Linked DNA regions of Arabidopsis thaliana. The protein of the gene in region 1 interacts with the protein of each later gene in a pairwise test. Each region holds a gene or a part of one and is shown in the gene's direction. Other genes may lie near its edges.

Region 1 (3,834 bases):
AAACTTTAATCAGTTTCTTGTTGTTGTTGGGCCCAAAGCTACCTGTTTTACCAATCAAATCTGTTCTTACTTTGTCAATTGTCACAAACCTTGACTTAGTTCTTAAATCACTCACCAAAAACTCTGATTCTCAACCCAAAACAAGAAATAAACTTGTACTTAACTGCCAAAGGCTTGTTGAGCCTAACAACAAATATTGGCCCACATAACAGGCCCAAATCTTACAAAGCACCCAACCCTTTTTTTTTAGCACCCATCCCTTGAGTACTTTTTTCATTAATGTTCTTTTCCAAAAAGATATAGAGGCTGCGAGATGTGAAAGAAAAAAAGTGAGATTGCAAAAGAACACGTGCGTCTTCCAAGAATTTTCTTAGGGGTTATATAATATTCAAACATTTGATCTCTTTGATAATTGTCCAACCTTTTCTTTTTACTTTGTGCTTTTGAATGGTCAATCAAACATGGACTAACAACAGTAAATGGTGAGCTACTTTTGTTTTCCTAATTGAAATTGATTAATAATTGGTAAATGGTTTCAACTTCAAACCTCGGAAGAATAATCATCAAACACGTTTGCGCCTCTTTGTTTACCTTCTACAAGGACTTAAAGTTTGACCAAAATTCCTCAACTACATACGAATGAATATACACTGACGTCCGAAAACAAACCATGAAAAGTACTTTACTTCTCATTAAGCCAATGAAGAAGAAAAAAGTAGCAATATACTCGTCCTAAGCTTTTTTTTTTTTGCTATGAATGTTGTTATCATTATAAAAATTAAAAGAGTTTAGCTTTACTGAGTAAGGGCCTATTGTTTTGAATCTTTGGCCAAAAAAGTTGCGGAATCGTTTGCGTCTGTGGTGATCATGTTTATGATCTCTCTGTCAATTGTGTCGATATACGTCATTAGTTATATCTTGGTATTTATTCAATAAAACCATCAAAAACTGTATTTATTCATCATGGAATCGGTATTATATTAAGTTATAACCGTATCTCACCACAACGACATCAACATCTTTATTCTTTGTTTTAGAAAGCAATGGAACGAAGAACAGATTCAAACTACTTCTCTTTTTTCCACGTGTGTAAATAGTCAATAAATTAGATGGTCCAAGGATAAACTCGTATTTGTATATACAAATATCGAAAACGACTTGTAGTGTGTTTAAGAGCCAATCTAACAATTTTATATGTGTGGATTCAAACATTGAAGACTTTGATTGATCAATTCAAAGAAGTATGCATTTATTATATGCACGGATAAAATGATGACGTTCGACAAAAAAAAAAACGTAAACCTCATATGACGTTCGGATAAAAGAAAAACGTAACACGTACACGACGTCATTGGAGAGATCATTCGTCCGTTCGTAATAATCTTCCACAATCCAAAATTCTGTGTTCTACGTCGGTGCATGCATCGTTTTTTTGGTTATTCTACTTCAATGAATCGCGAAAAGCAGAGTGAGTAATTGATTCTTACGTCAGATCACCAATAAGTCTTTCCTTCCTAATTTGCAATATCTATTACAAAATCTTTATTAATGCGCAGTTTCAAAGCACTCTCAATAGCATACATTCTTGTGTAGATCTGATCCTTATCCATATATATATACATTTAATTGATTATTACTCGTGAAAACTCAGTAAACTATCTTGAGAAAATTGCCTATATCTTTTAAGAAATAAGATTAGGGGTACATAAAACATTATCTTACAAATGTAATTATGTAAAATGTTTAATCCTTACGTGTCGTCTACGACACTACCCCTCTTTAACGATTAGCAGAGGGCCGCCTCTTCGTCTTTGACTTCATAGTCTACCATAAATATGTCTATATATTTTAGACTAAACTTTATTATGTTTTCACAAAGATATCTTAACAAACTCCAATCAATTATCAAACAAAAAGAGAGGAACAAAATTCTTCTTCTTTTGGAATTCAGGTGGATCGGTCTGTCTCGTTGTTATAATCAAGATTCCACAAATAATTAGGAATATGGAGGGATATGATAATGGGTCGTTGTATGCTCCTTTTTTGTCGTTGAAATCTCATTCGAAACCAGAGCTGCATCAAGGCGAAGAAGAGAGCTCAAAGGTTAGATCAGAAGGTTGTTCGAAAAGCGTGGAGTCGTCGAAAAAGAAGGGGAAGAAACAAAGGTATGCGTTTCAAACAAGGAGCCAAGTGGATATTCTTGATGATGGTTATCGATGGAGGAAATATGGCCAAAAGGCCGTCAAGAACAACAAGTTCCCTAGGTTCTTCTTCAATTCTCCCTTCTTATTTATTCATTGCTTACAATTGCTATATATTTTATCGAACATATAAAGAAAGAGTTAAGAGTTAGACATGCATATATATGCTTTAGCCAATTCGAATCAATCTCCAATTAATGTGTATATGTATCATTCACATCGGCCCTAGATTGATCTTAACTATTCTGCAATATGTGTTTTGATTAATTTATCGTTTTCATCTTCTATAGCTAGCCGAGATACATGATCTATTTGTTTCTCTATCTAATAATTAATCAATATTTAATATAAATACACTTTTGGTCAACAAATCATAGAAATGTGCTTTTGTGAAGAAATTTGATGATTAATTACTCTTCTAAAAGACTCGATGAATATATGTATATCCTATTCACATTTTATTCTAGATTGATCTTTACTAATTGATTGGGATATGGATATGGATATTGATTTTTTTTTTTTCTAGTCTATGTAGCTAACAATCAGCGATTAAAAATGAAAGTCTTTTGGTAGACATTTTTCTTCTTATAATTTGGATTCGGGAACATATATGTGACAGTTAATTACTCTTCTAAGAGATTCAAAAACAGTTATTTGCATATAGAGAAGTGAAGTGTTTTGAAATATAACTAATGGTTTATATATATAAATGTGCAGGAGTTACTATAGGTGTACATATGGAGGATGCAATGTGAAGAAGCAAGTGCAAAGATTAACAGTGGACCAAGAAGTGGTCGTGACAACCTACGAAGGAGTGCATTCGCATCCCATCGAGAAATCCACCGAAAACTTCGAGCATATTCTCACTCAAATGCAAATCTACTCTTCTTTCTAGTTAATTCTCTCAAAATCTTTTATACCTTATTTTAGAGCCTATAATTCTTAGAGCTCATGTTGTAAATTATTTACAAAAATTAGAATGTTACATTTTACGTGTGTTGAAAAGAAAAACCATGCATGATCTGATGATCAGCTGAAGTTTGTATCCTAATAATTTTTAATAAAAATTTCAAAAATTGAGTGTAGTCTATTACTGATAGCAGCATATAATGCACATATTAAATTTCAAACAACTGTTGCTAAACATATTATTACGGTTATCTGATAAATAGTAATACTAATGGTTAGGCGTTAATAAGATATGTCATAGTCTCTAACTACCCACCGAAAGTTGTAAGAAAACTACATGAGGTATGGGAATCTGAAAGTTAGCTAGGTAAGTGACAAGAAAGTAAAAAATATCAACGGAGAAAATGACTTTACAATTCTTAAAATTAAATCAGTAACAAAATAAACCCATTTTGCTAGTTAATTCTGCTATCAGCAATGATGCTCTTGAAACAGTGACAAGAGAGTCATTGTTCTTCAGCACCGTCGCATCAGTTCTTGAGTAATCCAGTGTCTTTTTTGCATGTAACCAACCATCTTCGTGTAAATGTATGTAATTGAGCCTGAAATCTTTATTATCAATATCAAGATGCAAACCGTTTGGATTTGGATTCAAAAATTTGGATAAAAGCTTCACAATTCAACTTTCAGTTGCTAACACAAAACAGGAGTTACTGAAACAAAC
Region 2 (3,918 bases), on another chromosome or scaffold:
AGATCATACCTACACACAAGACCAACCCAAAGCTAAAACCTGTAAAGCATGGGCTTTTTAGGCAGTAGATGATTCTAAAACAATTTAAAAGCACCATTTTAGAGATATATATGGTCGAAGAGTGATTAACACTTTCACTCTCTCACCATTTTATTTTATTTTTAACGTCTTGCCTACACATTTAAAACATTAATTGGTTGATACTTTTATACTTTTTTAAGCAATTAAAATAATTTATTTAAAAATAAATGTATATAAAAAAATATTAATAGTTTATTTCTTAGATACTCAATGAGTCTCCATCCAATGAAGGTGCTCTAACAGAATCTTGAACAAGGCTACATACTATATGGTCTTGTAAATGAACATTTTCACTTTTTGGAGAGAACAGAGACAAGACAATGGACCGTGGGAGGATCCAGAGTTTCAGACCAAACATCACGTTTTTTTATCACTCGCTTCTTGTACTTCTTCAACTATCTCTGACTGTTTTACTGTTTTCTTTCACTGCTAATGCTTACACGTGCATCTGTCTCAACAATTATTTTTCAGGAAAATAAAAAATAAGAGAGATTATATATACAGTTCAAAATATAATTGCATATATATATATATATATATATATAAATTATATAAAATATACTGTTCAAATATAAAGTTTTTTTTATAGTGGTTTGGTTTCACTTTCATTGTTATCTATAATTTAGCTCACGGTGCGTACATGTAACTTACATTAAGAACAGCCAAAAAGCTCAAGCTCGTGTCCAAATTAAGATTCCGAATGGTATAGCTAGCAATATAATATATTATATGGTTTTGGATTGATAAAAACATAAAACCTAATAAAGGAATTTAATTGATATAAAAAATGAAACAATAATACAGTCTAAATATTCAATTATGAATTAAAATATTGCAATAAATCAGTTAATAGGCATTAATACTAATATGATTATACATACATGGTTAATCACTAAGAGCAACGTGAATATCAATAAACTAATTGATTTACTACGCTTGCATAATTATTTTCCTTAAAACTTTTTGATTTCGAATACTTTGTTAACACCCTGATACATGTGCATATAACATAGTAGGCTGAAATTGGACTATTCTTAGACAGTTTTCACATCTAGAATGAGATGTATAGGTTTCGTTGAGAAAAATTGTAGTTGAGATGATTAGTTATATATAACCTATGTCTGTGGGTGCTAATTTGGCAGATGGGAAAAGAATTGAAGCCTTTATATATAGTCTTCAATTATTAGTATCATCGTTAATAAAAACAGTGGTCCTTATCTCTCAACAAGTCTTTCATCAAATTCGGATAACAAAGACAAAATAGAGAATCAAAGAAAGAGACATTTGTGTTATTATCAGTAAATTATTAAAAAAATAAATAATATTAAAACACTATTATATTGGGTGTAAATTGGCTCTATGATTAGTGATTAGTTTTTTTCTTTTCCCCCATAGAACATTCAACGTTTCCCACCCATGCAAAATCCAACCTAAAAGCCAAACTTTATAAGGAAACCAACAAATAGATCCCTACAATCTAAAGATTGCAACAAAAATGCCCCAAAATTATAATCTTAGACAATCCACACCTTTTTCAATCATGTAAAACACTTCCAAACTTTTCATAGTCCATTGCTAAAAATAGTTTTAGTCTCACAAAGTTAGACCAAAATTCAATACATTCGGCGCATAATTATTTTTATACTACAATATAGTAAGTGTGATAATAACCAAACAAAAAAAGGTTAAGTGATCATTTGGTGTGGAAACAGCAAATATTGGTCTCTACTCTCTACTACAAAAACCTAGTGGGACTACAAATGAAAATAAAACACAAAAGAAAAAGAAAGTGAAAGTCTCTCTCTCTTTTCTACAAGCTGCTTCATCTTCTTCCTCTCACTCTCTCTTTCTCCAAACAAGTAAACAACAGTCAACACAAACTCATAGCCCCACCAGAAAAAAAAAATACTCCAAGAATTTATAGGTTATAAGTAAAAATTCAGTACAAGTTTGTTTGTTTGTTTATTCCATTTTCTTGTGTGTTTTTTTCCCCATAATTTATAAATTTTATAAGCAATATGGAGTCCCACAACAACAACCAGAGCAACAACAACACCACTGGTTCGGCCCATCTGGTCCCATCCATGGGACCAATCTCCGGTTCAGTCTCATTAACCACCACTGCTCCAAACTCCACTACCACCACCGTCACCGCCGCTAAAACACCCGCAAAACGACCGTCCAAGGACCGTCACATCAAAGTAGACGGACGTGGCCGGAGGATACGTATGCCGGCTATCTGCGCAGCACGTGTCTTCCAACTAACACGTGAGTTACAACACAAATCGGACGGCGAGACTATAGAGTGGCTGCTCCAACAAGCGGAGCCAGCTATCATCGCAGCCACCGGAACTGGAACCATACCGGCGAATATCTCTACTTTGAACATCTCTCTTCGAAGCAGTGGCTCTACTCTTTCAGCTCCACTGTCTAAATCTTTCCACATGGGAAGAGCGGCTCAAAACGCTGCCGTTTTTGGGTTCCAGCAACAGCTTTATCATCCTCATCATATCACGACAGATTCTTCTTCTTCTTCTCTTCCCAAAACATTCCGTGAAGAAGATCTTTTTAAAGATCCTAATTTTCTAGATCAAGAACCCGGTTCAAGATCACCTAAACCGGGATCCGAAGCTCCTGATCAAGATCCGGGTTCGACCCGGTCAAGAACACAAAATATGATACCGCCGATGTGGGCACTAGCGCCAACGCCAGCCTCCACAAACGGAGGTAGTGCTTTTTGGATGTTACCAGTCGGAGGAGGAGGAGGTCCGGCTAACGTTCAGGATCCATCACAGCACATGTGGGCGTTTAATCCGGGTCATTACCCGGGTCGAATCGGGTCGGTTCAGCTAGGGTCTATGTTAGTGGGAGGTCAACAGTTAGGGTTAGGTGTTGCAGAAAATAACAATTTGGGGCTATTTTCCGGCGGAGGAGGAGACGGTGGTCGGGTTGGTCTCGGAATGAGTCTTGAGCAAAAGCCTCAACATCAAGTGAGTGATCATGCTACTAGAGACCAAAATCCTACTATAGATGGTTCTCCTTGAAAGACTTCATGATTTCTTTGGTTTTTAAAAAGTGTGAATGTGTGATTTATTGCAACTTTTGTTGAGGACTCCAATGTTAATATGGGTTTTAGGGTTGGCTTTTCGGGATTGCCAAATTGTTATTTAAGAAAATGGATTTATTGTTTTGGTTGCATAATAATTAACGAGTTTTGCAACTCTTTTTATTCGATGCAAAAGCATGTCACTTAAAGGAAATATAGTTGAATCTCTATGTGTAACATAATGGACAAAAGAATAAATTAAATATTTATCAGAATGCCTTTTCTCTTTTGTTGAAGGGTATAATTGAATACACCTTCTTTGACCGCTCATATATTTCAAATATTTCGAATTGATTGCAGTTCGTAAAAAGCTAACGAATATAAATAAAAAATTATATGGTGTAGACTGTAGTGATAAACTTTATTGGGTGCATGAGCACCACATGTTTGGATACAAATGGGTTTTTAGATTTATATATTAATTCTCTTTTAAAATTCGTATTTTGTCTATCATACTTTTGTAGTATCTACCAAAAAATTGTCCACTTGTGGAGCAACATGGACACGTCAGAGAGAACTCCTATGCCACAGTAAATTCCAATGTGTTTGAAAAATAGGCTGGACGGGTAATCAGGCGAAATGCCGTTTTTAATGTGACTAGGGGTTAGCCCGGATATATATTTTGATAATTGATATTTTCAAGTTAGTTGATATAGTTTAAAAAAAATATTGGATTTGATTTCGGAAGTGTATATAATAGATGGTTTATTGGGATTTTTATATATTTACTA

Evidence for each region.
Region 2: the proteins of WRKY75 (region 1) and AT1G35560 interact in binary tests that used the Arabidopsis thaliana proteins (3 or more experiments, as listed by UniProt).

Annotation. Positions count from the first base shown.
Region 1 is NC_003076.8:4,149,190-4,153,023, reverse strand, and holds WRKY75 (WRKY DNA-binding protein 75), read left to right. Parts: upstream 1-1,822; 5' UTR 1,823-2,004; coding exon 2,005-2,264; intron 2,265-2,918; coding exon 2,919-3,096; 3' UTR 3,097-3,286; downstream 3,287-3,834. UniProt on the Arabidopsis thaliana protein: Transcription factor. Interacts specifically with the W box (5'-(T)TGAC[CT]-3'), a frequently occurring elicitor-responsive cis-acting element.
Region 2 is NC_003070.9:13,115,306-13,119,223, reverse strand, and holds AT1G35560 (TCP family transcription factor), read left to right. Parts: upstream 1-1,988; 5' UTR 1,989-2,099; coding exon 2,100-3,125; 3' UTR 3,126-3,398; downstream 3,399-3,918.